Schizosaccharomyces pombe: one gene and its partner. The protein of the gene in region 1 interacts with the protein of each later gene in a biochemical or structural test. Each region holds a gene or a part of one and is shown on either strand. Other genes may lie near its edges.

What was found.
Region 2: of the proteins of gef1 (region 1) and orb6, one has a biochemical effect on the other in vitro, tested with the Schizosaccharomyces pombe proteins (one study listed by BioGRID).

What each region holds. Positions count from the first base shown.
Region 1 is NC_003424.3:469,459-474,634, reverse strand, and holds gef1 (RhoGEF for Cdc42 (Gef1)), read left to right. Parts: upstream 1-1,644; 5' UTR 1,645-1,735; coding exon 1,736-1,777; intron 1,778-1,832; coding exon 1,833-4,052; 3' UTR 4,053-4,654; downstream 4,655-5,176. Other genes in the region: SPOM_SPAC24H6.08 (uncharacterized protein), read left to right, coding at 1-600; SPOM_SPAC24H6.10C (phospho-2-dehydro-3-deoxyheptonate aldolase), read right to left, coding at 4,809-5,176. UniProt on the Schizosaccharomyces pombe protein: Has a role in the control of cell polarity and cytokinesis. Involved in bipolar growth, via modulation of cdc42-shk1-orb6 signaling, and septum formation. Stimulates guanine nucleotide exchange of cdc42.
Region 2 is NC_003424.3:1,006,263-1,010,881, forward strand, and holds orb6 (serine/threonine protein kinase Orb6), read left to right. Parts: upstream 1-2,000; 5' UTR 2,001-2,176; coding exon 2,177-2,319; intron 2,320-2,586; coding exon 2,587-2,761; intron 2,762-2,806; coding exon 2,807-3,898; 3' UTR 3,899-4,056; downstream 4,057-4,619. Other genes in the region: gamma-glutamyl phosphate reductase Pro1, read left to right, coding at 132-1,487; dnf1 (P-type ATPase), read right to left, coding at 4,378-4,619. UniProt on the Schizosaccharomyces pombe protein: Interacts with pak1/shk1 and coordinates cell morphogenesis with the cell cycle. It is essential for maintenance of cell polarity and is involved in mitotic control.

The DNA of each region.
Region 1 (5,176 bases):
TTAAGTCAAACTCAACGAACGTCTTCCACATCAAGTTTAAAGAAATCGGCTTCGAGTAGACGTTTGGTTTATGGTGATGACATGCTGGCACCCAAACCGTTAGCTGGTCAAGTACTTAGTAAATCACCACTTCCTCCTTTTTCACCTTCAAAAATTATGAACAGGAGTATATCTGTTCCTCCCACGAATATCTCTGTTCCTCAAATTAGCAGTAATCCTCTCAACTTGATGAAGAAAAGCAGTGACAATGATATCTTTACCACGTTTAACGATACAACAAACGATTGTATGAACGAAGCTTCTTGTGAAGATGTCAGGCACTCCCTATTGCAAATTATAGAAAGTAAATCAAATCTTAGTGATTCTGTTCATAAGATGTTGGGTGAACGAGTCAAAACGAATTTACTATTACAAGGTCAACTAGAAAACATGGAAGGCTTTTGGCTACAAAAATTATCGCAAACATGTCGCTTGGCGTTGACAGGAAACATTAGTGAGGCGAAGGCATTTATTGTAGAAATTATGTGTGCCGGTGTTGTAACTAATTGTGTGCGCTGGTGTCCAGTTTTGAAGACTCTAATTGAAAACCTTGCTATCTAGCTTTACATGTTGTTATATATTTTCTAAATCTTCCTGCTGCAAGTTATATGACACTAATGCTCTTTTTTTCTTAATTCTATCATTTTTAATGATGTTACTCATTTGCATTTTAACAAACCATTTATAAGCATGATTAGCTATGTCGGACGCTAACGAAGTTACAAGTTAAAGGATTTAATAACACTTCCTTTTTGAAATTAGAAGAAATCTTAATAGATATAATGGAAGTTTCCATTTTTTTTACAATATATATTTTTCTTATGGCCTGTCGATTAATAGTATTTTTAGTTTAATTTACTGAAACATTATATTTGTTTTTAGTGAACACCGTAGAATATTTAGGAATTTTGACTAGGTCTGTTTATCATACACACTTAGTATTAGATATCGTGATTTTTTGAATATATGAAAAAAAGTACTACAGACAGAAAATGCAGCGTATTAGCCTCAAGTAATTATTAAAAAAAATAAAAATTTTCTTTTAAAATTATACAGTGTTTACCAAAGTTATGTAAGACAATCAACTGCCGCTTCTCTCTCATTTCTGTTTATATACATCTTTAATGTTTATTACTTATTAAAAAAAAAAAAAAAAAAAAAAAAAAAACAAAGCAAATTACGTGCATTACCAAGAAAACAAAACCGCTCTAAATATTTAAGCTAATTAAAACAATGAAATAACAAATTTATTAACTTGTAACCGTAACAGTGGAATTTATTTTAACTGCTGTCATTTCTAGAATTTCATAAAGGGAGACATGAATAAATTTAACCTTATATTACAAATTGTAAATACGTAAATGTTTATCACAAAATCGAATACTCAAGTCATATTACTATGTACCTGTGCAAGCAACCATTTGTAAACCAAGTACAAAGGTAAACTGCCTCTGTCCGCGGTTGGCGCTCAAAAAGCTGAGCCAAGCCTATTTTTGGCAAACTATTTTTCGTGGGTGATTACGTTATGCATTGGTAATGAAGATAAGGAAGTGGAAGGTATTGAAAGTGGATTAAGAAGAAGTTGGCGCCAAATCTCCAAAACCTGTGCTTTACCAACAACGTTACCTAATAAAATTCATGTAAACAAAATTTCCAAAATTGTCATTCATTTTATTGTTCTCCAAATGTTTTCAATATGGAGACTTTAAAAGCAGATCTTTCGGATATGTCCGATTCCGTATGTCCTTATACTTGATTTGAATGTGTGTATATGTGTTAACAATGTTGATCAGCCTGAGTACTTTGAAACCTTGGCAAACAGGGATTTACCAAGATTGCCTGGAACAAGCAAGCTTCATCGAGCTGCATGTATTAAACGAAAATCTATCAATTTAAGCCTTCCTTCTAACAGTTATTCGCTTTCTTACCGACAATCAGACGACACTGATGGCGATGTTTCAGAATCACAGAGTGAATACAGGTTGAGTAGTGGAAGGAGGTCTCGAGCAAGCTTTGCTCGTGCTTTACAAGATCCCCAAACTCCAAACACTCCTCCCGTATCGTCTCAGCACCGAAGATTCTTTTCGGAGGGCTCCTTCAATTTGCCAAACTCCAACATGAGCCACTCATTAAATGGGGATTCTACAGCCTCTAATAGTTCTACTTTAACCCCTAATCGTATTTATGGGGACCGCAATCGTCAAGATTATGCTCAGTCTAGCCGATATACTTTGCCTTCGTTGCCTAGTTCCCCATCATATAACTGTCCTACAACACTTCGAAAAATACATACAAACACGAGTAGCAATGGAACTTCACGAAGAGTTAGCGGCCTAGGGTCTTTTATGGCACAGAATTCCTCTGAAACTAGCAGTAACAGGACTTCGGCGTATCTACCTGGTAGCTCTACGGATGAACAAGAAAAGCGTTCCAGTGTGACTTTGGCAAGTATGCCTTCCTCTCATTCGTCTACAGCGTCCCTCCTTTCACCTCTTGATACTACTTCTTTTTCTACTAAGTTGGACTCTACTATTTTGGCCTTGGAAACTGATGAGTCTCTCAGCCGAACAATTTCGTATGCCACTACTTCTTTACCGAGCACACCAGGTAAGCGTTTATCAAAGGAATCTCTTGCTATGTCTGAAGCCAGTTCTATCAATCCAGAATATAAGCGTATTAAAAAGCGTGCAAATTTGATTAAAGAGCTGGTTACTACTGAAGCTGCCTATTTAAACGATCTCATTGCGATTCAACAAAGTTATGGCTTGCGGGTCAAAGAATGCAGTGCATTGAATCCAGTTGACGCCCAAACAGTTTTTGGCGATATAGAGTCTTTATTAACTTTTACTGTGGAATTCCATAGTCGACTTTATCAAGCTGGTGAAGGCTCCTGGCGTGTAAACTTGGATACCCAGCTTATAGATCCTCTTCCTTGCAATTTAGGTCTTATTTTTTTAGAAAGCCTTTCTGAAATCGGTCAAATTTATACTGGTTATTGCAACCGTCAAGATTCGGTTTTCAAAATTATCACTAAATGGAGAGAGAAACCTGCAACTGCATCCTGGATTATGGAGGGTGATAAAATAGTTCAAAAATACACGAACGCCTGGGATTTGGGTAGTTTAATAATTAAACCTTTACAGCGCTTACTCAAGTACCCCCTATTATTGCAAAAAATCATTGATGTTACTCCTGAAAGTAGTTCTGAGCGCCCAGATTTGGTCCTTTCTTATCAACTATTACAGGAGTTAATATCTGGTATAAACCAGAAGCAGAAGCCTTCTCATAAGCGTGGGTCGTTAAGTGCTTCTCATAAACGAGACGCTGCTTGGAGTTTACTCTATAAAGCAACATCGAATAAATCTAGGCCCACCACTACATCTACTGAGTTAAAAACTGATGCTCGATTGAATTTTCAACGCCAAGTGCTTCAAGATTTTCGACAACGATTCGCTATATTAAAAGCCTTACATGCTACATTGGAAACGTGGTACGTTACTGTACATCGTGGATTTTCGGTTTTTGAAAAGGTTTTAGCAGAGCTTGAAGGGCTTAGTGCTTTAGAGCCCGAAGACAAGCCGGTAGATACGTGGCGTAAGTATCATTTACTTGCGCACATGATGACTGCTAACCTTCCTTCTCAAATACAAACGTCTTTAAATTCTTCTATCCTTAACCCAATCACAAATATCCTACGAGTGATTCAAAAAGTTATTCAGTTCATTATCAGCGCTGAATTTGTGATTCCTGCTCAAAAGCTTGAGGCAATTTCTACTCTTGTTGAGAAGGAATTTCACAGTGTTGTTTATCATTTTATTGGTATTCAACGCTCTCTCTATGAAAACTACGCTCAAGGTTTCTTGTTTCTTATCCCTCAAGACATGAGGGATAGCATCTTAGAAGAAACGCAAGATTATGCAGAGTTAGTTCGAGCCTTTGAACCCATGCATTATGATGACGAGGTATTGCTGGAGGAATTAATGAAAAGTGTCTCTTTAGCTGCGAGGGTTTAAGAGCAACTTCTTTAGTCGAATATTTTTTATCTGTTCTATATATATACACATTTAGATATACTGCATTCATGTTACTTGAATGATGAAAACGTTTCTCTGGACCATGGTTTTTTGCAGCTTCCATGTATTTAACATCACAATTACATTTATTTAACCTAATATCTGCGTTTGTCTGATTACAATTCGTTTAGGTTCTTTTAACGGTCTTTTTTTGTCTATCACAGAGGCCTGTTAAGTTTAGTTTCAAATTAGGATTCTAAACGCTTTTACGCCTTCCTTTTATGCATCTCATTATTTTTGTCTGCTCAAGTCGAGCTATTAATTATTGTCTTTTCACTTTTTTTTTTTAAACTAGGAACGTTTTGGCTTTTCTGCTGTTATGCCATTTTATTTGTTCATACGCTTCCACTTTTCATTTATATGCTTTAATAATGTATATAATATTTGACTTTCACTTTAACTATGTTTTATGTTTAAAATATGTAATTAGGTTTTGATTGAATTAATTTTGTTCGTCGTTATTTATCCTAGTTGACTAACAAAAACAGGTCAAATTCTTACATTCGTAGTAAAACCAAAACGTAAATAAAAATACTTACGATGAAACAGTCTGGAACCATCCGATAAAGTGCAATGATAAGTACGATAAATAACCTTTTAAAAGTCACACTGTTAATTACGGCAAATACAAATTTATTATACAAGAAACCAAAAAATTTATTTTTATAAAACTGTCTCAATAACCTTCATTATAGGTTAATGAGAACGACGAGAACGGACGGCAGCAGCCAACTGTTCAAAAACGGCGGTAGTGTCGTCCCAACCAATGCAAGCATCGGTGACACTGACTCCATATTTCATACTTGACAAATCATCCTCAGGTATAGCTTGCTTACCTTCGTTAAGGTGAGATTCGATCATGACACCAGTAATTGCTTTCTGACCGTTTGCCACCTGCTCAGCAATACAAGCAGCAACCTTGGGTTGATTCTTATGGTTTTTAGATGAGTTTCCATGAGAACAGTCGATCATGATACTAGGTAGCTTGTTGCATTCTTCGAGTTTAGCCTTGGCACCAGCCACTGAATCAGCATCGAAGTTAGTCCCACTTTTACCACCACGCA
Region 2 (4,619 bases), 540 kb from region 1:
CATACATTAGAAAAAACAACCAAAATACTACAAAAAGTAGTCTTTTTGAGCTAGCCATTCTAAGAATAAGAATTCGCTTGATTTAAATCTCCCAATTGCCTCTACTCAAAGTTGTATAAGTATTGTTTAGCATGTCTCTTGAAGAGAATGTAAAGGAAGCGAAAAACGCTTTTAACATTTTACAGACATTATCAGTGGAAGACCGTGATGATGCATTGGATAAAATAGTTGAAGAACTGCGCATAAAAAAGTCAGAGGTTCTAGCTGCAAATGCTGAAGATATGAAAGCAGCTAAGCTCTTGGCTGAATCAGGAAAACTAAGTTCATCGATGGTTAAAAGATTGGATCTGTCTTCATCTGATAAATACGATTCCATGGTACAGGGTGTTTTAGATGTTAAAAGTTTGCCTGATCCCCTTGGTCGTGTTACTTATGCTCGTAGTCTTGACGATGGTTTGGACCTTTATAAAGTCTCTTGCCCTGTAGGTTTATTGCTAGTCATTTTTGAAGCTAGACCTGAAGTAATCATTAATATTACTTCCCTGGCTATCAAATCTGGTAATGCTGTTGTACTTAAAGGAGGCACGGAATCAGCAAAGTCTTTCGCTGCACTTTCTAATGTTGTTCGCTCTGCCTTGGGCAAAAGTAAGGTTCCACAGGCTGCTGTGCAGCTTGTTCAGAGTCGCGAGGAGGTATCACAATTATTAAAATTGGATGAGTACATAGATTTGGTTATTCCCCGCGGCAGCACTAATCTTGTACGCCATATAAAAGATAACACAAAAATTCCTGTTTTAGGTCATGCTGCAGGACTATGCTCCATGTACGTCCATGAGGATGCTGATATGGAATTGGCTAGTAAACTTGTTCTGGATGGAAAAACTGATTATCCAGCAGCATGTAATGCAATTGAAACTTTGTTAATTAACGAAGCTGTTTTATCTTCTCATCTTCCTAAAATTGCTGAAACTTTAACTGAAGCAAAAGTTACATTAAAATGTGATCCCGCTTCTCTTAAGGTTTTAAAGGATATGCCAAAAGTTAGTGCTCTAGTTGAACCATCTGTCGATCAAGATTACAACACTGAATTCTCTGATTTGATTCTTGCTATTAAGACTGTACCTTCCTTACAGTCCGCAATGCAGCATATAAATACACATGGTTCTAAACACACGGATTGCATTATCACTTCTAGTGAAGCAGCTGCTAACAGATTCATGGCTGGAATTGATGCTTCTGGTGTGTATTGGAATGCTTCAACCAGATTTGCCGATGGTTTTCGTTATGGTTACGGTACCGAAGTTGGCATCAGCACCAACAAAATTCATGCTCGAGGACCAATGGGTCTTGATGGGTTAACTATTTACAAGTACCAACTTAGAGGAAATGGTCAAGTTGCAAGTAGTTATGGAGTTGGACCTGGCAAACGCGCATTTAAACATACCCCTATTAATATAGACAATATTTCTCAGGTTTCGAAAAAATAAACACAAAAAAGATTTGAAAATTATGTGAAATTGTCAACGTTTTGGCTAGCTGCATTTTGGATACAAATCGGTTAGGCTTTTTTTGTTTACTTGTTTGTCTATAATATTTAAATGGGAGTTTCAATAATGTGAAGTTATTAAATGAAGAGTAAACACCAAATTAAATAGATAACTATTCCTGTAGAGTTCGATCCACCACCTTTAGTTTTTATTACACAAATATTTTTATGGTGAAGAACGAATTGATGTCTCCGTCCGTCTTTTTTGACTATTCATTTCAATTCAGATTCTAAAATCTTCGTAAGCTAAGATTCTTGGCTTCAGTTAGTAGCGTCGTAATATTGAACAGGGAGGGTTAGGAAATGCGCGGAGCTTATCGCAAGCGATCGTTGAAGTTATATAACAAACTGCAGAAGTACTTGCTTTTCCAGTATCGCAGTTTAACATATTTTTATCGGATTATACCTTAGCTGGCAGTAGTCCTATAATTAAAAAAGCATAATAGGACTTGTCATTTACCATATCCGATTTATCACTGTCTCATTTCTGTTTTGCATGTCTTGTTAATTCATGTTTTAAGCGATTGAATTTCAATCTTTTAACAATTTCTTTTTGTTAATTAATTCGTTGACCTTGTAGTTGATTCTAATTAGTGTAAAAATTCCATTTATTGCAACATTTCTTTCAATATGGATAAGAATGATTACTTACACTTTGAACGGAACCCTTCATTATTTCCGAAATCAACTTTAGACAAAGTCCAAAAGACAAAGAAATATATTGAACATTATTACAAGGTGGCAGTTGATCATGCTGTAGAGCGCAACCAAAGGTACGAGTAGCATTACTATTCAGGGTTCTAGCATTGTTTCACATTCCTCAATTAGTATTCCCATCTTATACGTTGATCGGATAAGTATCAAAGACGATGCTTTTATTAATTCTTTCTCCGTTCTCAACTTCGCGTGTTGCAGTAAATGCATAATCTCGAATGTTTATAAAATCTTAGACAGCTTACTCATCTTGTTTCGAAAATGTTAATTAATAATGCTAGCTTCCGTTTAATTTACTTTTAGGTATAAATACTAATTCTCTTTAGACGTATCAATTTGGAGCAACGATTAGCAACCGAAAGGGGTTCTGAGGAGAGAAAGAATAGGCAGTTAAGAGCATCTGGTGAAAAAGAGTCTCAATTTCTTCGATTTCGTCGTACACGGCTTTCTTTAGAAGATTTTTCTACCATCAAAGTTATTGGGAAAGGTGCATTTGGCGAGGTACGTTTGCATAATTGTTTATGTTTTTGGTATCTAATTAAATAGGTTCGGTTGGTTCAGAAACTCGATACGGGTAAAATCTATGCCATGAAATCTTTGCTTAAAACTGAAATGTTCAAACGTGACCAGCTGGCTCATGTCAAAGCAGAACGCGACTTATTAGTTGAATCTGACTCCCCATGGGTGGTGTCATTGTATTATGCTTTTCAAGATTCACTGTATCTTTACTTGATTATGGAGTTTTTACCAGGCGGTGATTTGATGACCATGCTAATAAATTATGATACTTTTTCAGAAGACGTTACTCGCTTCTACATGGCTGAGTGCGTTTTGGCTATAGCTGATGTTCATCGAATGGGTTATATTCATCGGGATATAAAACCGGATAACATACTGATTGACCGGGATGGCCATATAAAACTTTCTGATTTCGGACTTTCCACTGGTTTTTACAAGCAAGATCAGAGTGCCTCTTACATGAAACCTCGCACAGGAAATACTGTCAAACGTGGTCAAATGGTAGATGCTATCTGGCTTACAATGTCTTCCAAGGACAAAATGGCTACTTGGAAAAAGAACCGTAGGGTGATGGCCTATAGCACTGTGGGTACTCCTGATTATATCGCTCCAGAAATTTTCTTGCAACAAGGGTATGGTCAAGATTGTGATTGGTGGAGTTTAGGCGCTATCATGTTCGAGTGCTTAATTGGATGGCCTCCCTTTTGCAGTGAAAACTCTCATGAAACTTATCGAAAAATCATCAATTGGCGTGAGACTCTGACTTTCCCAAATGATATACATTTAAGCATAGAAGCTCGTGATTTGATGGACCGACTTATGACAGATTCAGAACACAGATTAGGTCGTGGCGGTGCTATTGAAATAATGCAACATCCTTTCTTTACTGGAATCGATTGGGATCATATACGAGAAACTGCAGCTCCATTTATTCCGAATTTGAAATCTATTACCGATACACATTATTTCCCTGTTGATGAGCTTGAACAAGTTCCTGAACAACCTGTCACACAACAACCTGCTTCTGTTGACCCTCAGACGTTGGAACAAACCAATCTGGCATTCCTTGGGTACACTTACAAAAAATTCAATTATTTAACGATGAAAGGAGCATTGTAAGACTTCTGCAAGAAACTCCATAGCTACTTTGTTCATTGTCCTTTGAGCATCTAACTATTGTTATCGAATTTTTTTTATCGTTAATTCATGTTTACCTTCTTTTACATTATTTTAGCATAACTAATAATATTACCAATTACTTTTTTTTAATGTTGTCCCTACTGATAAAATCTTACATGCACTTCTGTAAATATTAAATTCGTTGCATAAGAATTCCAAATTAATGCATAGATTTTATTAGGGAAAAGATAAAAAAGAGTGAGTAAAAAACATGTATTAATAAGTACAACAGGATGTTAACGCCAAGAAAACCAACCAAAATAGTAAACAATAATTATGAAATGCGGATCATGACCCATAACTAATAGACAATTTCTAATTGAACAGTGGGAACCCCAGAATTTTAACATTTTACCAGTAAACTGACTATCGTCTAAAGAAAGTTTCATATACTAGAATTGGATTAATGAATTAAATGCCTAATCTCGGCTTTTTAAATATTGTTCAATTTCATCGACAGATGGTGCATTGGCTTGTAAAAACTCACCGCTCTCTTGCTCAAACCGAGAGCGGACAAAGGCATCGTTTTCCATTTCCACAAATATGTCGGTGTCCGTAGGACGTAAAGTCCTTCGTAACATTTGGGCAACAATATCAATTGTTAAAGCACAAACCATTACAAAAAGCATAGTAAGCCACCATGAAGGATTTTTGCCAAAAT